Drosophila melanogaster: one gene and its partners. The protein of the gene in region 2 purifies or fractionates together with the protein of the main gene of each other region. This does not show direct contact. Each region holds a gene or a part of one and is shown on either strand. Other genes may lie near its edges.

What was found.
Region 1: the proteins of Hexim (region 2) and PIP4K purify together in Drosophila melanogaster (affinity purification with mass spectrometry, with the first as the bait; one large-scale study listed by BioGRID). This does not show direct contact.
Region 3: the proteins of Hexim (region 2) and CycT purify together in Drosophila melanogaster (affinity purification with western blotting, with the first as the bait; one study listed by BioGRID). This does not show direct contact.

The regions. Positions count from the first base shown.
Region 1 is NC_004353.4:1,191,492-1,199,782, forward strand, and holds PIP4K (phosphatidylinositol 5-phosphate 4-kinase), read right to left. Parts: upstream 5,358-8,291; 5' UTR 5,217-5,357; intron 4,987-5,216; 5' UTR 4,967-4,986; coding exon 4,829-4,966; intron 4,772-4,828; coding exon 4,674-4,771; intron 4,601-4,673; coding exon 4,351-4,600; intron 4,300-4,350; coding exon 4,169-4,299; intron 4,106-4,168; coding exon 3,937-4,105; intron 2,369-3,936; coding exon 2,217-2,368; intron 2,164-2,216; coding exon 2,069-2,163; intron 1,495-2,068; exon of another isoform or gene 1,280-1,494; coding exon 1,215-1,279; exon of another isoform or gene 1,162-1,214; coding exon 1,045-1,161; 3' UTR 928-1,044; downstream 1-927. Other genes in the region: CG33521 (uncharacterized protein), read left to right, coding at 529-671, 734-815, 866-868.
Region 2 is NT_033777.3:14,657,384-14,662,719, reverse strand, and holds Hexim (hexamethylene bisacetamide inducible), read right to left. Parts: upstream 3,283-5,336; 5' UTR 3,160-3,282; coding exon 3,105-3,159; intron 2,977-3,104; coding exon 2,410-2,976; intron 2,346-2,409; coding exon 1,885-2,345; 3' UTR 1,543-1,884; downstream 1-1,542. Other genes in the region: Rad17, read left to right, coding at 1-317, 404-858, 917-1,377; CG3505 (uncharacterized protein), read right to left, coding at 3,543-4,240, 4,313-4,460, 4,898-5,076, 5,165-5,222.
Region 3 is NT_037436.4:17,551,362-17,560,612, forward strand, and holds the start of CycT (cyclin T), read right to left. Parts: upstream 6,428-9,251; 5' UTR 5,712-6,427; coding exon 5,135-5,711; intron 5,059-5,134; coding exon 5,013-5,058; exon of another isoform or gene 4,782-5,012; intron 4,471-4,781; exon of another isoform or gene 4,170-4,470; coding exon 3,574-4,169; intron 3,518-3,573; coding exon 1,443-3,517; 3' UTR 1-1,442. UniProt on the Drosophila melanogaster protein: Regulatory subunit of the cyclin-dependent kinase pair (CDK9/cyclin T) complex, also called positive transcription elongation factor B (P-TEFb), which is proposed to facilitate the transition from abortive to production elongation by phosphorylating the CTD (carboxy-terminal domain) of the large subunit of RNA polymerase II (RNAP II).

The DNA.
Region 1 (8,291 bases), on a different chromosome or scaffold from region 2:
ACCCATGTTGCCCTAATTTGGCCATGCCCACAAACCGGTCCCACACCCACACTTTTGTAAATTTTAGTTTATTATATGTATTTCCAGTTTTTTTCGGTGTTTTTTTTTTTTATTATTTTTATCTATGAGTAACGAACATTTATACATTTTTTTTGATTGTGTATCTCACATATATATCAATATGGCAAAAACGTCCACGTACGCCCACTATAACGGCCAAACATTTTTTATTGTAAGCCTGCCTGTGGTCAAAGTTCTTTAAAATTAGATTCGATGAAATTTTGTAATTACATGTAATTGCTGTAGGAGAAGTCCTCGACAAAGAGAATGCTACGAACCTGCTCCTCGCTAAATCTATTACATAATAAGTTTAATTCGGTGATCTTGGTACTACCTTTTCAAGAAAAAGTTGGCCAGTGTAATAAGTCCTGTACTCCCAATAACAACTAAAGAGTCTTTAATGTTTTATAGCTTTAAGTTACCAGAAGTAATTACAAAGTACATTAAATACACTTCTCGTTTTTTTAGGCGCAAAGTGTTGCACGAGCTAAGCAATTGAGAGCGAAATTTGAAAAATGGCAAAATAACGAAATAGAACAAGAAATAAAGGAAGGTCGCATTGATGTATATTCACAGCTTATTTCAAACGAATCTATTGAAAGTGCCAAAGCGTAAGATCAAACTTACTTATGTATCTTGACTAATTTGCAAGGTAATGGTCCTTTAATTTCAGAATACGGGAACGCTTTGAAAATATGAAAAAATCGGAAACTGCTATGGAGAACCCATCAAAAACTCAAATAAAACGTTTTGTTGTAAGTGCAGTAGAATAAATATCCTTACCCGACTCACCAATTTTTTCTAGTAACATCGTGATGGTCACTAAATCCGAATTATTTCTAAATGGATATTTAAGGCAATATATTTGCATTCGTCCAAAAGATGATCATCTGGAAGCTTCAAAATAATATCTTATATTTTATGTCTTAGATAAATACATTTTTGACATTTTGAATGTGGCAAATACATAATGAGTATAATACTTTATTCTATAGCTTTATCCATAAAGTCCAAGAATCGTTTGGCATATTGTTCAGGGTCACAGGTTGATATACCGTCAACATTACTGCCATATTTAACAGTTTTGGCTGCTTTAGCTGCCTAAAATATGCTGTTAAAATTACAACCTTTCTTTTAAGTATTAAATGAAATACCTGTTTTTTTACTCCATATTGTGTAAGAACGTCAATAATTGCAATAAAGTAAATTTCGCGTTTTTCTGCAATACAGTTCAAAATATACATTAATTCTCTAATTTTAATACCGGTAGTATTAGTGGCAAAACGGTAGAAGTGATTGGACCAAAAAATTAAAATGTGCACTAAGAAACCAGTAATAGAAATCTCATTAGTTAACAACTGAAATTTAAATTTATTAATGGGGTTCTATTAAAATAGTTTTTACCTGCATTGTATGTCAAAGAACAAAGTATTTATTTATTCTTTATAAATTTATTCTTAATAATATTTATTATTAAATATATTAAAGAATAATATTTATTCTTTAATAAATTATTTAAATAAATTGAATGTAATGTAAATTGGTGTAAGGTTATCACACATTTTTGCTTAACTATATTGTACCCCTTGTATAAGCGCAATGCACGAAACACATCAAATGAAGCGAAATGGTCACGATAGTTGACGATTGAAGCAACTGAAATTTTATGATGATTGCCACTAAAAGAGTGATTCCCAAGTCTGATTGAAGCTACGATCTTAACTGCTGAATCAGAAGAGAAAGTTTAAGTATCCTATTCAGAAATCGGTACTCCCCGGTGTTTTAATCATGCATAAAATGGAAAAACAACATATATTGTTTTTCCAAATATTTTGGGTAAAATCTTAAAAAAACGAGCTTTAACGTAAATTTTGTTTCAATTTTTTTACGTCATAAGCACGCACGCATCATTTTCAAAAACTTGAAAAATATAAAAACGACCAATATAAAAATGCTCTTTGTTAAGTTATCAGGGCTATTGCGTACAAAACTTTTAAACTACATTTACCTTCAATACTTGGAATGTCATATATATCAACTTCATAAACGACTTCCTTATACTGTGCACCTCTTGGAGAATCGGGAGGAGTGTTATACGTCCAGCTTTAACAAGAACTGCGTACATTTAAGGCTTAAATAAAATAATTTTTATTTACCGTTCCCCGCTATCGCATTCCTCGCTTTCGCTGTTCTCACTGCGACCAACAGTTAGTATATTATCTCCCTGCAAAGCTTCCTCCTCTGCACGAACACAGTCATGCACGCCGACCAACAAAGAGTAATCCATAATGTGCAACTTGGTTAAAAGCTAAAATAAATTATATGTCACCATATGCTATCAAAAAGTATTGGTAATTTATATTTATAAATAAATAAATTATCAAGTCATGCAAGACATAATTATATCTACTGGTTATATAGGTTAAACTACAACAATTTAAAGGTTTTTAGATAAATTTGTTCAGATTAAATGGTTTTCAAGTACCACTTCGTAGGACTTTTTTTTATGAATTAGATTTAACGCAATATGCTTGAAAATGGCAGCACATTCGTATGATTTTCAAGACCTGAAATTTATATAAAATGTGCAAGGCGACAAATTTGTAGTCCCTATGAATTAATAACATTCAAGATATGTAAGACGATGATCCTCGATATGTTAATTGCACTCCTTATAGCACTTACAGCTTCCCAAATTTCGATGTTTCAGATCGATTCAACAAGTCTAGTCGTCGCAAGCTGAATACTCTAATGACAAATATTCTAATATAAAGTCATTTTTGAAATTTATTTTCTGGTATTATGTACATAGAAGATTAGGCTATTATTATTTCTAAGCTATATTTAAATAAAAACAACGTTAAGGCAATTCAAAACAAATAAATTTGTACATGGTGCCAATTGATCAAAAATAATGTAGATTTAAAGTCTAAGAACTTCTAAGATGAAGGGCTTATTTCGTCAAATTTACAATGCATGAGCATACGTACAGTTGTCGGCTGTCACTGTACGCGTAGAAAAGAGCTGCTGGCTGTAGAGATTTCCGCTCTCTCGCTCTTGAACAAAAATTCGAGAGAGCCTGGAGCCACCTCTAAAGCCACGCCAAAAAAATCGTATGGCGTTACGCATCTTGTTATTCTATAGTCTTTGGTAAATTGGTATACTATATTGGTACTATTGGTACGCGTAGAAAAGAGCTGCTGGCTGTAGAGATTTCCGCTCTCTCGCTCTTGAACAAAAATTCGAGAGAGCCTGGAGCCACCTCTAAAGCCACGCCAAAAAAAAATCGTATGGCGTTACGCATCTTGTTATTCTATTGTCTTTGGTAAATTGGTATACTATATTTGTTGGAAAGTATATAACAGGTAATATGAAGCGTTTCGGACGCTATATTCCTGATCAGGATCAATGTCTGAATCCGAACGTCAATCCTTATGACCGCCTTGATCTCAGAAACTATTAAATGAAGACATGAAGATTTGAACTTTTGAATATTGTTTTTATATTTTTTCATATTTTTTTTAGTCTTGTAAATTTCTATTGATATGCCAAAAAACTTATTGCCACCTGTCGCCCACATTTATAACAAATTTTATTTAATTTTATTAGTTGTGTCGCAGTTTCTAGCGAACTTCTTCGTCCAGTCAATTCACATTTTTCTCCTCCCATCTAATGCCGTTAATATTAGGGCAACTAGTTGGGGAACCCGACTATAGCGTTCTCCCTTGTTTCTCATTTGATTCCCCAATTAAATTTCGCTTTGACTTTCCACTAGCTGAGTAACGGATATCTGATAGTCGGGAAACTCGCATTCTTTCTTGTTTAAATTTTGATAAAAACAATTATTATACGAATAAAATAAAAATTTTTGCTTACATCCACATCGTTGCTCAGCGTGTCCATTAGTTTGTCCTTAGCTTCCTTTCCAATGTCTAATTTCACTTTTTGTTTTATAAAATCATTGTCCTTGAAAGTCGGCAAATTTTTTTCAAGTTCCTTTTCTGATGCTTCCCGATCAACGGTGCTACCTTTTAAATCAAACTTTCTATCGAATAAATAATGGTTATACTATACATATAATCGGTGTAACTTTCAACATATTTCATACTTGTGTATTGTCAAGTGGGAGCTGAAAACATTCCTCATGACAACGAAGTAATATTGCACGCTTTCTACAGTGATACGATACATTCCCAAGTATTGAGGTAACAGCGTTTTTCCGTGTCTCTCCACAACGTACTAAAAATTATAATAAGGATATTTTAGTCAATTAAACCATACTTTACTCACCGGATGGTATTGCTTTAAAAATGCGTGCATTCGTTCAATTTCTTCCGATGTCAAACTTTTTATTATAAAAAACTTATCATAACTCTGATAAAATTGCGCTCCTGATTTTCCAGACGAATCAATTTGAATAGGTTGGGATCGAGTTAAGGACTCGCGGTAATCAACATCATCAACGCCAAATCTTTCACGTAAATTTCGAAACACAAGGGGGCAATATTCCTTGACTTTGAAATGTGACGGCATGTTTTCTCTGTAGTGGATATAATAACAGGAAAATACCAACGATTGAGAATATCAAAAATGTATTTGTTTTGGTTTCTTACTTATTAAATAGATGATTATCCACCTTAATTTTAGAATAAGCTCGAAAATCGTCCGGCAAAAGCATTACAGGTATATTAACGTGACTTAATTCATTAATCTGGAAATATTTCAAATTAGCTTATCTTGCCTTTCTTGTTTAATATTTGTTACATACAGTGTGATTTATTCCCCACATGAACACACTTAAAATTGGTTCATTGGCTCTAAATAATTTAACCTTTTGATGCTTAACCCTGAAGTGCTTCTTTTTTAAAATCCGGGGCTGGGATGACGATGAGATCTTTTTTTCCATATTTTGGGTGGCTAAAATTACTAAAATCAAAAATATAGTTTAACATTACTGAACAAATTAAGCAAAGTTAAATTTAGAGCTGATGAGCCACTTAAAAAACTAATATTTTTAATAATACATGCTGTAACATTGAATATATACATTCACTTATATATCTATATACACATATAGCCCAAAATTGATTAATACAATGTATAGAGTTGCACGTAAATTGTTTACCAATTTACATTAAACAGAACTTTGGTATTACATTTTATTGAAAACTAAAATAACCCAGCGTTCATAATAAATTTAGTTTACTTTGCAGATATGATTATTGTATTTTACAATGACTCGCAGGCTTTTGAACAGACAAATTTGTAGTTTACATAAATTTATAATATGAAATACCTTATCGATAAATTCAGATATGTATTTATTGTTTTTTATATCGGCTTATGAAACGCCGTTTCCACTTAAAAGTAATTCTGATATCACAAACTATTTAATACTTTAACTCTTAAATCTTCTAAATACTTCTATGCTTCTAAAAGGACTTCAGAGAGTTGAAAATCTTTTAATAATAGCAAGCAATACTCAAGAGAAACAATTTAGATCAAACAAAGAGACTAACCGCATTGTATATTAAATATAAAGGTTTTTGTAGGAGTTGTTTTTAGAAAACCAAAAGCACGTGCTCTGATATGAAGACAAATTTAAAGTGGAACACAAATGTGAGTTGATCGAAATTCTCTGCCATATTAGCGCTCGGGAAAAATTGAATTTATAAAATAAAATATAATCGGGCAAGCTCCGGTATTCGAATTCGTAAGAATTTTACGATTTCGATTTAAAATCGAAAAACTGGTGCTCCTGTGTTCGAATTCGTAAGAATCTTACGATTTCGATGTGAAATCGAAAAATTGGTGCTCCGGTTTTTGAATTCGCAAGAATTTTTCACTTTTGTTTGGCCGAAATGAAAAGTAAATGCCTATATTTATATCAAATCAGATCTTAGTGGTACCTTCTTTACTCCACATCACCCCACAAGATCATTCTGCCACATAGATATCTTATAAAATATTTATTTCTGATTAAACCTCAGATTTGACAAACAACATGTTGCCTTCGGCTACAAAAATTTTCGATCTTTTGATTTGTAAAACGGGCACTTTTGTTTGGCCATAACAGATCTTAGATCTTAGTGGTCCATTGTTTACTCCACATAACCCCACAAGATTATTCTGCGACATAGATATTTTATAGAAAAATTATTTCTGACCCCACCTCAGATTAGTGGTCCATTGTTTACTCCACATAACCCCACAAGATTATTCTGCGACATAGATATTTTATAGAAAAATTATTTCTGACCCCACCTCAGATTTGCCATACAAAATTTTGCCGTCGGCAACAAAAATTTTCGATTTGGCAAGAGGTCATATGTACGAAGGTAAAAATACTTATAAAATTTAAAAAATTGTGAATAAGATGGCCGCTCTATGGTCTGAAACAGCTGTTTACTGTTTATGAAGCATCCCGATATCAGAAATGTTGCGAAAACCAGAGCACCTAAAAACGAAATCGAAAGATTTTGCCCAAATCCAAAAAATGACCATTACCAGAGCATGCCGGAATAACTTCATTAGTTTTTATTAATTTGTTTTTAATCTGTTTACACCGTTACTTTACGATTCGGCTTGCCAAAGATAACTTTCTTAATTCAATTACGAAAATAAAGCTGCATGCTTTATTGTTCATGTTTTGACAATAATAAAAGCACAATAAATATTTATTTTTAACGTTTTATGAATAACGTTTATGAATATTTTGTAGAAAAAACAATGCTGAAAATATCTTTTGTGTTAGAGTCGGTTAACACTTCCCCTTTTCAGTAGAGTCGGAAAAAACTGAAGTACATCGGATAAATAATCATACCAAACTACTTCATTCTGTTTAAAACTTTCGATTTGATAGCTGTTTTGTATTTTAATTTTCTTATTTAAAAATATATATATTTTATATATTTCAAAGTGAAATGTAATATGATAAGTTTAAAAATTTAAAATTAATCTAATAAGAAAAAGAAAATCCTAATAAGGGGAAGAGTAAAAATACTTAAAAACTTTAGGAGAAAGAAACTTTAGTTGTATCACTTTTGTCTAAGAAGCCGCTATATATAGCTTGATTTCTTTCCTTCATAATATGATAATTATGCAAATTACATATATTTAGTTATATTTAGTTAAATTGTCGTTGTACATTGAATGATTTTTTTTACTATATTGATAGTAAAATACAAGATAATTATATCTTAAAATTTTATTGAGATACTGGCAGTTCTCTAAGCTCTTTTAACATCACGATATATGTGCGATCACTTACTGTCATATTCTCACCACTATTAAAAGCTCTATACGTGTTATGAAACTTTAGGTATTCATTAGTAGTTCCGAATCTTTAACTGCTGAGGCGAAATTATGTGAACTTCATAATTAGTAAAAAATAAAAATTGTTCTATGTATATTGTTAGTTGGGTATATAAAATTTCCTAAGTATAAAAAATTTAATCCTAAATATGACGGAATCTGGAATCGATTTGGGCTTTGATATGGAGTTTGATCTAAATATAAACTTGTTGAATGATAACGACAATATGGATTTCTTACCAAATGTTACTGAGAATATGGAGTTCTATGAATTGAAATCATCATCACGCTGTATACGGCATAATGAAATGTAAGTATCTTGCAATGTAAATATATTGCACATTAATATACAGTCAGCGTTGTCAATGCCTGAGCTTATGTTAATATTTATTTTAATGATCAGTATATGTTCGTATTGATATGAATGTATACTGAAATAAATACATATATATAATCAAAAGTACATCCTTTTCATTTGAACATACGTATGTACGCATGTGCGCAAAAGCTTTATATTTGAAGTATGATTAGCGCTATAGTATAATCTTATCAAGCAAACATACAACTTGTGTACGTTATATGGATCTGTCTATAAAATCATATAAAACAAGATAAGAATAATCTTACAAAAGGAACATACATAAATATACTGATTGAATATCAATTTATGGTTGCTAAAATTTAGCTTTGAGTACATCAAGTCTTGATGTAATAAATGGAAGTATGTACATCCATACATTCTATGTTGTATGAAACCGACAGGCTTTTTAAATATGTCATGGAAGCAGTTCAATTGGTAAAAATCTCAACTAAAGAGATTATTTATAATTATTATTATTATTATTATAATATAATAATTATAAATTATAAATTATAAATTATAAATTATAAATTATAAATTATAAATTATAAATTAT
Region 2 (5,336 bases):
CCGGCTCAAATGTGTCTACTTACCGGGCCCACTGGTGCTGGCAAAACCACCACGTTGCGAGTCCTGGCCAAGGAGTTCGGCTACCAGCTGCAGGAGTGGATCAATCCTATCGATTGTGAGGTGGTCAACACCTTGGGTGATCAAACGACTGGCGCCTCCTATGTGGGCTCCCATCTGGAGGCCTTTAAAAGCTTTCTGCTCCGTGCCTCGCGATACAAATCCTTGCTGGACTCGCAAAATAAGAGACTGCTTCTTGTCGAGGACTTTCCCAACGTCCTGCTCAGCGATAAGGAGGTCAACTTTGAAGAGTTACTAGAGTAGGTAAAACCGGTGGACTATGGAATTGAACACCAACTATAAGATTCAACATAATTTAATAAACCCTCATTTCCTTCCATTTCAGAGAGTACACGGCGTATGGCAAATCTCCCCTGGTGTTCATCGTTGCCGATGCCAAATCTCGAGGATTGAATATCAGCTACCGCCTCTTTCCAGACCAACTGAAGGCCAAACATCGCATCGAGCACATCAGTTTCAATGCTATTGCATCTACAATCATGCAAAAGTCAATGAAAACCTTCTGCTCCGTAATGCAGCAGAATAAAGCTACTTACAAGGTGCCCTCGACCGCTGTTGTTGACTCAATAGTTGTCGGTGCCCAGGGCGACATAAGAAATGCGTTAATTAATTTACATTTGAGCTCTTTAAAGGGAGTTTCCAGCATGCCGACCAAACAGCTAAATGTCAGTGTGTCCGCAAAAGGTCGTAAGAAGAAAATGCAAAGTACTTTAAAGTCAATTGGTAGAGATGAATCAATTACTCTGATGCACGCACTTGGAAGAGTATTAAATCCTAAGTGTAAGTCCCACGAAACATTCTCTGTAAAAATACTCATTCAAATCTTGGATCTCATCAGTTAATGAGGACAAAACTATGTTACACAGCCCGGAGGAAATAACCGAAGCCTTTAATACAGAGCCCAGGAATTTTGTGAATTTTGTATATGCCAACTATCTGCCGCATTTTAAGGAAATCGATGATGTCGTGACCGCCATAAATGACTTGGGCCTATCAGATTGCATGCTCAACGAGTACAGAGATGATAATTTGTCTGTGATGGGCTTAAACGTTGCCATACGAGGAGTTATGATGTCCAATACGTGCCCTGTCAGCGGATGGATGCCTGTTCGAGGACCCAAGCGAATCAATATACAGCCACAGGCAACTTTGGCCGAACAAAGACTGGTGGGTGTGGGCTACGCGGGCATTGCCAGGACGCTCTACGCCACGGAGTACAGCTCATTAGTTAAGTTAATAGCAGGCAAGCCTGTGGATACTACTTCAAGCCAAAGCACAGACTCAAAACAAGACTTTTAGTAAATCAAAACTATTTATCTGATGTTAAAACTAAAGTAGCAAGGAAGTTTTTAAAAAATGTCCCTAGGACCAAATATGATATCTAACAATCGCAAAACCCAGTTTATTATATAAATTAAATGTACTGCGCATCCCACCGTAAGAAAATGAATAGCGGTAGTTATTCGAATTCATGTTTTAACTCTTTATTTATCTACAAATCGATTTTTCATTATACAAAGTTCCATTAAAATCAACACTTCGAGGCAACACCGCTAAACTATACACCATACAGACCAACAAAAATACAATTGGGAGGCGTCGTTTGCAGATAATAAAGTAATGCTAATTCTTTCTGATGAATGCTTTTTGATGAGCTATTTGATGATTGAAAGGAACTCCTCACAATTTAGGCGTCCACAGATGACTTAAAAACTAAACAAGGATTATGTCCATTTATCGCCACATTCTACCACAATTGAGTCTTTTATTTACACACGGCGGAGTGACATACTCTTCTATTTTATTCTATTTGACAACTGCATCGGCTGGCCTGGATACATCGCTGGAGTTGTCGTCCTCCTCCATTTGATTTCCATCTAGCAGGCGCTGACGCTCCTCCTCGTTGGCATGACCATTCAGGTGGATCGGTGATCTAGACCTGGAGCGGGTGCGGCTCCTCTCGTGCCGCTCGGCATGCCCATTGGCTATGTTCAGGCCGGCCACGCCCATTTCGTGACCATCGCTGCTGGTCGAGGAAGTGGTGGACGTGGTGCTCGACGTGGTGCTGCTGCTGTCGCTTTCGCTGTCCTCGCTGGTGGAGTCCATGGGTGTGGGTTGTGGCTGCTGGGGAGGCTGTTGTCTAGCCTGCAGCTCGCAAGCTGAACTGGGAGTGGGCGCCACCGCTGAGGGCGGGGAAGCTGCGGCCGCTGCTGCTGCCGCTGGTCCAGCTGTCGCGGAACACGTGCGCAAGAGGTGGGTGCGCAGAACTGGAATAAAAGGCACAAGTTATAAATTTTCCTGGTTTTTCAAATTATTAAAGACATCGCATACATTGATTCTCACGTGATAGTTGGCGAATCTTATCATCCTGCGCTCGTAATTTGGCTCCAAACTCCTTGGATATGTTCTGGGCCTTCGAATATCGATCTTCGATTTGCATGCACTCCTGGATGAGCTCCTGCTTGCTCATCGTCTCCAAACGTTCGAGCCGCGCTCGCTCGTAGACATCGGAGAACTCCTTGGAAAGGAAGAGCACCTGATCTTCGGTCTGGGAGCCAAAACAGTTGTCGTCGGAGTCATCTTTGTGCAGCTCCGACATGTGTTCCTCCATTAGGAAGCGGTTCGTGTTGTACGGAACGAGCAAGGAGCGCGAACGAACCAGCTTGGTTCTGCTATTCTGTCGTTGATTCCCCTCCAGCGTTGCTCCTGCACCCGTTGACATATCGAGTTTCCACTGCGGATAATGGTTCTTGGTCTTCTTGGGCTGCATCTTGGATTTTTTTCCCCGCCGATGTTTCCTCTTCGGCATTCCCGAGCCGCCTCCTACAGCGACACCGCCTCCGCCACTGGCGCCCCCTCCTCCGCCGCTATCCAAAGGTCGTTGTTGGGAGCCACTTTCTGGAAAGAGCAAGAGGACCAAATTCAAATTTGAACCGCCAAAATACTCGAAAATGCAACTCTGCCCACTGCAGGGGCAAAGGAAAGAAAAAAACAATCCAATAAGACAGTCGCCATTTGTCGCTTGCCTTTTTCAGCGCTCCCCGAGTGACGATTTTTACCATTTTTTACAGCTTCAGCCATGTTGCCAACACAAATACTTAATTTATTAAGCACTTAATTAACACTTTAAGCTATAACTGGAGATTTGTTGCCGATTTGTAGGTTTGCGATTTTTATACTAAGCGAACTAAAACTCGATTGAAGTGTAACCAGGTGCTGACGCCGGAGTCCCACATAAAGTTCTCCGCCTAACGCGACCAAAAATACCCCAATTGCTATCACATTGAATAATATTAGGCGCCAATTTCAAAATAAATAAGAAAATCTCCATATTTTAAAGACAATCTTTCTACTTTGTTACCCACAAGGTAAGTTATTGAAATATTGTTTCTGAATCAAAAGATTTAGTTATTATTTTAGTTTGTTTTACTGAACATTTTGTTGTACCAAGTATTTACTTCAATCTATGCTTTGAGACTGTCGTGAATCCAATCGATGTAGGACGCCACCCTGGTGTAGACATCCGGCCAGTCGGGATTGGGGCAGGGAACGGGTCCGAACGACACCAGTCCACCGAGCAGATAGCCATCGTTCTTGAACAGCATCAGTGGTCCACCAGCGTTGCCGTAGCACTCCTGGGAATTGGTCAGGCCACAGAGCTTCGAGGCTTGGATGCGCAACTGCTGGCTGGCGTACTTCCTTTGACACTCCTCAATCGAACTAATGGTCACATAACCTTTTCGCATCCTTTGCGAGGAACTAGCCTGCCATCCGGCCACCTCGGTGACCAGGTCCTCCAGCTCGTCCGCTCGCAGCTGCTTGTTGGGCAGGCAAATGGGTTGCACAAAGTCGTTGAGCTTGGCAGGACTTGCCAGTCGGACGAGGGCAATGTCGTTGATCTGCGTCCTGTCGGTGCGATTGTAGAGCGGATGTGGAAGCAACTCCTCGATGGCTATGTCCTGGTAGGGAGGCGCGCAATCCGCCACTTTACTATCCTCATGGTACTGACAGTCGGGATTCGTGCTAGTGTCCCATTCACCCAACCGGACAGCAGTAATCTGCAGATTGCTAGTCGCCGCCTGGGCCACACAATGGGCAGCAGTTAGCACATACCGATCACTGATAAGCACACCGCCACACGCATGGATCTTCTCCTGGTTGCCTGCGGAGTAAAAAAGGTGGGGATTAATACTGTGACCTACATATACATATATTACCAAAACCGGCAACTCACCGCGCGTATACTCAATGAGGGCCAGCCAGGGAAACTCCCGGATTCGCGTATCTGTGTCATTCGAACGCTGCCAACGAACCTTTCCGCAATCCGAGGGCAAAAGTGGGTGGGTCAGGGCACCCAAGCCGGCGGTACTAGGACAGCATACCTAGAAAAACAGTGGCTTTATCATTATATTATAAAGTATATCTCTTTTACGAGGAACTCCCAAAAGCGTACTCGAATAACGAGTTTTTTTTTATGATACAGTTTGAGGTCACTTATTTTTACAAAAAGTTTCCTTAACATTAACAATGGAAGTAATTAAAATATTTAAAAGGAGAATGATATCTCATTTGAAACCATTCGTATTATCAAAATGTGGTGTATTTCCCTATTCAAATCGTTTACAAGTTCTTATCTGTAGAAAATGATAAGAACGCAAGCGTTTATAAAATTCCAAAAAAATGAAGCTGGGCAGTGAAAGTGAAAACCAGAACAGGCCCAATATAATCGAGCTTGTTTTATTTAGTAGCGCTTAATGGATCAAGTTGTGGAAGTTCGAGTTCAATTGGGTAGGGAGAGATACTGTGGTGAATCACCCACCTGGACGTCGTTGCCCCGCACTCCGCACTGATTATCACGGAGCAGGTTGCGATCGCTCTGGCTGAGATTGCCGGATAGCAGGATTCTCATGAAGTAGTCACACTCCCGGATCGAAATGCAGTGACCGGTGACACGGCCACTCGGAATTTTTGCAACACAATTGATGGGCGGGAGTTGAGCTGGAATATCGGAGATCGGGGATCGTCCCACGTTAACTTAAGTTCACAGCCAGACTTGTTTACGATCCCGTATTCCGTACACACTCACCATTCGCGCCCAATGCCAGCGAGCCGACAACAACAAGTAGAGCTGGAAAACTTCCCATGCCGGACCGGATCGATCAGATACGATACAGCTGAGCGGAACGAATGAGACTGCGATCGAAGCTGAGTCTGAGATTAACATTAAGTTCGGCCGGTGCCTGTGAATTACCAGAGAG
Region 3 (9,251 bases), on a different chromosome or scaffold from region 2:
GGGTTCCCAACTTAAAGAATACGTTTCTCGACTGCATGGGATGGATGGTGTGTGAATGGATGTGTGGTGTGTTTAGAGCTATATATGCTTGCAGCTTAATGCAGTAGTAGAGAAATCGAATACGAATATACGAGTACGAATAGTTTTGAAAAACGCGCAACGTTCGCTTAACCTTTGCCTTAGTCGAAAATTACATAAAATTTCATTTCATTCTCATTTTCGCCTCGAATATATAGATCATGCCTAGATTTCTATATGCCTAACTTTTGTTTCTCCTCGTTTAGCCTTCTGTTAGTTTTTCGTTCGTTTAGCTTAGTTTGCTTGCAACGTTTTCGCTTGCATTTACATAATTTTAAAACTTTTTGTTTTCTTGCACAACAACTTTTGTTTTATCCAAAATTTAGTTTTGGGTTTCTTTTTTGTTTGCATATTCCGTTTTTGTTTTGGGACTTTATTATTTGTTTTTGTTTTGGTTTTTTTTTTGTTGTGGTAATTTGTTTTGTAATGCTATTTAAAAAATAAATTAAAACAAATGAAAGCTACGTCAACGTTCCAGGCGATCTTGAAACATAATATCATCCGCTGAAACAATCCGATCTTTTTACTTATCTTCATTGAAAAGTGTAAATACACTACTGTATATATTGCTAGGTGTCGAAAACTATATTGAAACACGGTTAGTAATCGGGCAATCGTTCAGAAAGGAAGGGAAAACTTTGCTAACTAAAAATAAACATCTTCATTCATTTTCGGATTAGCAACTATGTATTAATTAAATAATTCATTATGTGGTTTGGCGTCTTCAATTTTGAATCAAAGCGCTGGCTTTCCATTTACTCTCCTATCCTCTGCCACAACTATATGCTCCTCTGTGGGGATTATTTTGAAGTTCTTACTCTTTCTATCTCTCTGGCTTGCATTTAGTTGGGGCCGTATTTAGTATATTTGCTAAGCGGAAGTCTGTACTATATATCTCTTGATTGTGTGTTTGTGAGAGTGGCTATATACAGGTTAGAGTGTGTGAAACGGGTATTTGATTTGCTAACTTAAACGCTAGACGGCCATTGCTGCTCTCTGTGAATTTTCTGCTTGGGTCTCTGATTCCGTTTGCCAACAATTCGCTTAAAACTATTCCGTATTTTTATGTATGTGGGCTTATATGTATGCTATTTATTATAGTTATAAATTAATTAATGCTGTACAAAAGTTTTCGCGATTTGAGTACTGCTTTTACGTCCAGCCCCATCGCGACATCTACTTCCACTCTTCTTCGATCTGCGCATCCGGTTTCACTTCCAATTTGGAGTTTTATCTATGTGCTTAACTAAAATCAATAATGCATCTCACTAACAATCCTAACAACTATACTACAATCGGACTTACTGAGGTTCTATACATATATCAAAACGTACGACTTAAGAATAACCCTCTGACCGCTACCACTACTTCTTGTTGTAGACGGGCATGGGAGGCGGTGCCAGCCCAGCGGCAGAGGGTGGTACTGCACCGGTGGGCGCCAACAGCATGGATGGTGGTACAGCAGTAGACATGGGGGCGCCCATTCCTCCAGACATATTGGGTGCGGCGCCAGCACCGCCAAGGGGATTAAAGATGCCGCCACCAGCGCCATTGTACTTCGCGTAGTCTTGGCTCTTATTCTTTTTGCTCTCCTTGTCGCGGTCACGATCGCTGTGCTTTTTCTTGCTGCTGCCACCGGAACTGCTGCCGCCCGATGAGCTGTAGCCACCACCGCCGGCACCATAAGGAGGCAGAACAGGAGCAGCTGCTCCGATCGAAGCGGATGTGGTGGTAGCCGTAGTTGGAGGCAAGCCATATCCGATTGCGCCAGGCAGACCCGCCGCTGCAGAGTAGTTATTGGGTTCAACCTTATTTTTGCTGATCTTAAGTTTAATGGGAGCTGACGCACCGGCCTGCAGGCTGCCGTTGGGATTCTTGATAACCATCTTCAGAGGCTCATTGGGAAGAGAACTGTCCTTGCTGCCACCGCTGCCGCTACGATCCTTCTGCTTGTCCTTCTTGTGCTTCTTACGCTCCTCCTTTTCCGTCTTGTCCTTGGACTTGTCCTTCTCCTTGTGTTTGTGTTTATCCTTCTTCTTTTTCTTTTCGGACTTGCTGCTGCTTTCCTCCTTAATCTCTCCGGCCTGTTTAGTGGGTACTTCCAAATCCATGGGTGCGGGCCCACTAGCCAAACTGGTCATCGGAGTTATTCCCTGTTCTTTCTTGATTGTCGCTGGTGCGGGCATGGGCTCAAGCAGTTCGGCCGGTGGTTTCAGGCCAGGCATAGTCAAGGCATCCGGTTTCAGGAGCGAAGCGTTCGATGGACACAGACTCTCCTTTAGCAAACTGCGCACCAGATCCGGCGTTGTCTCGATTCCGTTGGACATATTCAGAGGCGTGTGTTTCTCCTCATAATTCGGATAAGTTGGTAGTCCAGTTGTAGTGTCCAGCTTGCGAAGCTTTTCTCGAGGCATATTACTGTTATCTATTTCATCCAGCTTATTTAGTCCATACTGACTTCCCGAGATCTCGTTGGGCCGTTTTAGGCTTCCACTCTCTCCAGGATTGGTCAACAGGTCCCCGCCATGGGGTATCTGCTTCTTGTGAGGCGGTAGCATCGGCTTTGATGATCCCGAGCCGGAGGAACTGTTCCCACTGCCCACTGGGGGCATGACAGGACGGTGCTTATCCTTTTTGGTTGGCGTTAGTCGCTCTTTCTTGGGACTTTCTTTGTCGCGCGGATGGCTATTTAGCTTGTAATCGTGGCCGGGAGGCGCAGGAGGGGGTAGCAAACCGTTAAAAGGCTGTGGTTGCGACTGCGACATGGGCTCCTTTTTAATGTCTGGCCACTCTGGACTGAAGAGCGAGTTCTTGGACTGCAACGAGTGCTGGGATGCCTCCGGAGGCATCTGTTGCTGCTGAGACTGAGGCACTGGCTGCTGCTGCATGTGGCCGTAGCTCTGGCTCTGGGAATAGGGCAATTGCTGCTCGAAAGGCGGCATGCCATGGACGGTGGAGCCGGATTTGCTGCGATGGCCGCCGTATCCGGCGGGAGGCGGGGGCTGGGATCCATTGCTAGCGCCTGGATATCCACCACGCGACATCAGCGGGTTTTGAGGGGCACTATTACTGTATGGCGGCGGTGCGTTCGGATACATTTTGTTGCTCTGGGATTTATCCTTGGAGGACATGCCCGATGCAGAGGAATTAGAGGCGGATGGATGTGGGACCGGCTGCTGCTGCGGCTGCTGGGGCTTGGAGCCCGAAGTCATCTTGTGGCTGCCGTGAGGTGGCATGCCCACGCCTACCGGCGGCATGCCGCGAGAGGATTTGTGATAGTCCACGGGCATAGACGGTCGGCCAGGCTGCTGGCTTGAAGACGACGAGGATGAGCTGCTGCGCTGGCTGCCACTTCCCGAGGAACCGAGTCCACTGCTACTACTACGCTGGTGACTTGAGGGCATTCGATTGTTATAGCCCGGCTGCTTTGACTTGTGATCTTCAATACGAAGATGTTAAAAATGTGATTCTTTTTGCAGTTGTTGAAATACTTACCCGTATGAGCGTCGGGCGGCATGCCACCAGGGTAATTTGGCATCTTGTGACTGGAGGAAGACGACGAAGAGCTGCTGCCTGGCACTCCGCTCACTGAGGACGAGCGCTGATGGCCACCATCCTGTCGTCTTTGCTGCGGCACCATAGCCGGTGGCGGCAGTAGTGACGACGGATCCCGTTCCCGCTCTCTCTCCCGTTCACGATCTCGGTCCCGATCCCGGCTGTCGTTGCCGTTTAACAGCTCTGGTGGTGTCGTGATGTTTGAGTGGTAGCCCTTCATCATCTCGGTGATCTTCCAGTCCTCCTTTGGTTTGTCCTTGCTGTTAGCTGTCCGATTGCTGGCTCCCTGGGCGATCGCCTTGATCGAGTTAAGCTTAGACTTCAGACGGGCCGGGCTCTTCTCATAGATAGCGATGAACTCATCTGTCAGCTGCTTTAGCAAATCCAGCGAGACCGTCTTGTCCACATAGTAGAACCAGTGTTTGCCCTCGGTCGACTGGGGGATCTCCCATCGGGACCACTTGCAGGCTAGGTAAATGCAGAAACAGGCTACGACCGTGGGGCGATATTGGAGGCACATCGAGGTCAGATGCAGGCTGTGCCAGGATGGTTAAGTCAATTTAGTGGGAAATCTTTTGCAAGAATATCACATATAAATGTAGTTCGGTGAGTGTGTGCAGGGGGATTTCATCACTTATAATACAGATTACGTCTTTAGTTCTTAGCATGTTCTTAGCGAGTCTCTTTTATTTCTTGGGGATCTTAAACTTAAAAGAATTATTCTAAAACGTTTGCCGATATTTCGAAATGCGCAAATTTTCCCAATGAGCTCTCCTCATGTAATCAGAATTTTGACTATGTTTTAGGTAGGCAGGTATGCCAAACTGAATTTATCTTTTTTCCAGATGTTTTAGTATGCCAAAGGATTACAATGGTTATCATTACAATTCTTCAAATATCTTTTTCTAGGAATTAACGACTCTTTCTAGGAATTAGTCTTATTCTTGACATTTGGCGGATTTTCCGACACAAATTACAATGTTATTGCAGGCAACTGAGGATAATTACCGCGAGGGACACGGAAAATACTGCCTTTTTGCTAAGATGCGATATTTGTACAGACGTCCTGCTGCGATTAGGGACCGCGTGTTCTTGTTCGATTTGTGACTTGGGGTCGTCACTTTTTTTTTTTGTTTCGACTCACATACCTGGGTTTGTTAGCTATAAGCGAGGAATTAAGCAGGTAAAAGAACTGCCCAAAGATTTTAGCCACAAAAAGTCAGGGATCGAACTCTCTACAGCCTGACCACTTTCTGGGGAGGATTGGGCCAACACCACACCCGCACACACACACACATTGCTTATACCACAGCCGTATTTGCGTTGGGGGCGATCTCTAGGAGGGATTACACCATAGAGTAGCGCATTGCTAGCCATACCTGTTCGAGGCCAAGAAGTACGATGTCTGCGCCAGATCCTTGCATGCTAAAATATACCACAGTAATCAGTACCATCTGACATGTGAAGGGGACATGGCTTGGGTCGGATGGTGGGTGCATACCTTTGACCAGCTGGCAGGTGCGCACCACATGCGTGTGCGGATGATCGATGGCCACATCGAAGCCCAGCGTCTGCAGGAGCACGTTCTCGTTGAACACAAGCTCCTGGGCGAGTTCGGCGTAATTCTGCTCGGTGGTCGGCGGCAGGCACTTGTTGGCGGCCCGAATAACATGCTCCAGCTTCCGCGGTTGCTCTTCTACCTTGGCGGCCAAGAAGAGGCTCGCCGACGCCATGGAGTTGCGATGAAAGTGGGTGAAGGAGTGAAAGGCGTAGAACCGATGCATGTACACAATGGCCGTGTTGATGCACAGTTGGGACACCTGCAGACGCTGACCCATTTCCTGTATCAGATAGGCGGTCATCTGGCGGTACTGCAGCTCATCGTCGCCCTTGATGCCGCATCTTCTGCTTGGCGAATTGGCCAGCTGATCGTTGCTGAAGTACCAGATCTTGTCCTTCTCGAAAGGCAGGTTGTTGTTGGCGGTGATTGGAATCCCGCTGGCCGAGGCGGCCGCGGAGGCGGATGAAGAAGATGAGGCGGTGGCCGCCTGGGGCATTGGCGTGGCTAGGAGACTCATGGTTGTATGTTTCCTTTATCCGTGCAGCGGAGATGGGGATCTGGGATTTCGGGTTCCGCGTGGTTATGCGGGGACCTCCGTTTCACATGCAAACTGCGCCTCGGAATGGACCTAGTAATTCCCTTTTGGCTGATTCAGCTGTAGGAACTAACTGTACGAAGAGGAAGGGAGAGCGCTCTTTCTTTGTCGGCCGTGCTTGAGTGCGCTGGTATTGGTGTCTGTGTCCGTATCCGTGTGCGTTGCTGCTGTGGCGGGGGTGGCAGCGGTACGGAAGGGGCAGTGGGGATCGCACGGCACATCGGCTAAGCCACACTCGATATTTCGCTGTTTTTGGGAGACTCCAATTTGGGTTTGGAACGAGGGGTTAAATCCGCGGTCCGCACACTTTTTCCGCCGCCGCGTCTCTGCGTGTTTGTTTGTGTGTGTGTGTGCGTGGTGGAGATGGTATGGTGTGGTGAGGTTTTCTGGAAACTGCGACTGCGGCGGAAACGAAACGAGACGAAAAACACACTAACCGCGACACCAGGCGACGTGTTATGCAACTTTCGTATCAATTCATAGTTATTCGCACTGCTTTCGCCGGGCACTTTAACCATTACGGGTCGTTTACTCGACGTTTTTAATTCCACAACACATCACAGATTCCATTCACACAGTGACAATGACAAACTTTGCAGAAAAAAATGTATTTTCAAGTATGGCCGTCGGCAGGGCTGCCAGATCGATAAGGCTTTCCAAACCGATGTTTATTTCGCATTATCGATATTATTTTTAAAATATGGCAACATTGATTCTACTGTTTATGTTATCGATTAATAATCGTAAGGTAGATATTCAAATAAATGTAAATACATTTTTAAGTAACTTACCTTAAACTTTACATTTCGCTAACACATGTAGAAATATCACAATGTCAACATTTTTTCCCTTCTTATTCAATTAAAAAATAACGTATATTCCGGGGGAATCGAATTTGTACTTAATATGTTTGAACAGTCCCATCTTAAATATATCTTATTATATGTATATGGACATATTATATATGTACTTTGAGCACCTTCATTTAATCGCATGACTTTTTTTTATCAAAATATCCAAATGTTGTTATGTATATGTTTATATACCTAGTCGGACAACCAGCACTTCGGTTGAAGCCAATCCTCAAACACCGTTACATCCAGAAAAACTTTATGGGCTGGTGGAATCATTGGTCCGTACTTCTTCAAAGCCGACGATGGCCAGTACGTTACAGTAAATGACGATCGGTATAGGGCTATTGTTACCAACATTTTCATTCCTGAATCGAACAACCATGATGTCCAGGACCTGTGGTTCCAAAAAGAGGACGCAATATGTCACACAGCTCGTGCCACAATCGATTTAATGGTGACCGACTAATCTAACGTTTTGGACCTGTAATTGGCCTCCCAGATTTTGTGACTTCTTTCTGTGGGTGGGGATATGTAGAGTTATTGGTCTATGCGTATAAGCCATAACCGACCGAATCATAAGAAATAATACTAGTAGTAAAAAAGACATTCCGAATTCCTGTACAGCTCAAAATGGCTATACATTTTGAGAGCGATGCTCTACCCATTTGAAATCTGTCATAAAAACACATATGAATTTTTTATTGTTATTTATAAAACAGATAATATATATTTATAGTTTGTAGATTAAAATATACAAAATTTAGCTAAAAACCTTAAAACTCTTATGTCGTCATAACAGTAAATAATTATGCTAGCTTGTGACTGTTACTTGCTTCGTTTTTCTTAATGCATTCTTATAAAAATTAATCTAATCCGTTCGCTTGCGCTTGCCTCTAACCATAAAATTCACCTACATACCATGACTTCGATCCAACGTTCGTTTCCTTACTACATAAGCATTAAAGTATATATATATATATTATATATATTGTGGCTGGCTTTAGCTGATTTCTCATCGCAGACATTTTTAAAATGTGTCTGTCAAATGTACAAAGATTGAACAAAAAGTGAAATAAACAGTCTAAAAACTTAACTTAGGTTAGTAAGTCAAAAACTAATCGTATCTAATGTTAATGCATTCAACATATTCGTCTAAATCTAGGCCAATCCATATCTCTACTATTCTCAGGCGGCATAGAATACCTTTGAATAATCGCACGTTTCCATTTAAAAGCTATATAGTTCGTTTCGTTTTTGAGTTACCAATAGAAAGATATCTTGTCTTAGCCTTAGCCTAGCATAGAAATCTTGCCCAACGGCATCGATATTCTATTGCATATAATTTAGTTGGTCTTATCCAGCCATTCGGGGTTATCCAATCTAACAAATAATTGGTGTATACATATAAAATACGTTTATAATCGAGTGGAGTCATGAGGTCCAGAAGTTGTATATGTACAATTATCGTGCTTAGCATGTATAAATGCTTTCGGGTTGGAGTCTCCAACTGATTTAGGCTATCGAAGTGAAAGGAGAGCTCTCTGGGAAATAGGAGATTGAAATTTAAATGTACTATCTCGATTTAAAGCTGCATTATCCGGGTTGTGGCTCAGATTCTTGTTTACCGATTTCGTTGTACTCGACTCGTGATTTTTGCATATCTGGTTCGATGCTGCTCTTGTTGTGGGTGTGCTTATATCTAAGGTCTTATAACATTTAAATATTCATTCCCTAACAACTAATAACTGATTTACGCTAGGTAATAATGGTAGATGCGGTGATCTACGCCAATAAATAGACATACATATAAATCCATGATCTGGGGGAAACCTCATAAACTGAGACCTCGTGAAATGGTGTCTTAGAACTACAAAATACACCGACTGGACTTTATCTAAAATATGTGATCTCGACTTCAAATATCGTCAATCCGAATCTCGACTATCCTATATAGACTTTGAATATATTGTAACTTATGCAACATTATGTACTTTTCATGGGAGGTATATCTAGATTCCAAATTTGTAGCGGGTTCCATATATTTGTATCATATCTTTGCTTACGTTCTATATTTCATTCGGTTTTTATATTGGTTTGTTTTTTTTTTGGTGTGTTTGGTTTGCGAATGTGTAAATAAAACGCATGCACAAATTGAAATAATAATTTTATTTAAAAAATAAAAAATAATCATAAAAAATTGTTTACAATGAACAGAGTTGAACTCAAGACTCACTTTGTTTATTTGCATCATCAATCACCAATCATCATAAACAAAATGATATATTGTAGATTTCATCTTCACGTACACATAATAATAATAATAATAGATAAAGGTACTTAGAGAACGCAACTATTAAAGAATTAGATTAAAGAACTAGGAGTTGGTTTTATTCTCTTTCCTATTCAAGGTATCCTTTCAAGAGATTGCACGTTTTGGGCAGTGTTTGGAAATTGTTGTAGAAGTTGTCGGTATATTGCATTGAGGATTGCGGTTGCAGTATTGTTGAAACTATGGGTCAGTATCTCGGTTTGGTTCGATTAAATGTCCAGATCTGTTCCATTATGTAAGGCTTGTTTCGATTTGTGGCAGTGTGACGTTAACAAGAAT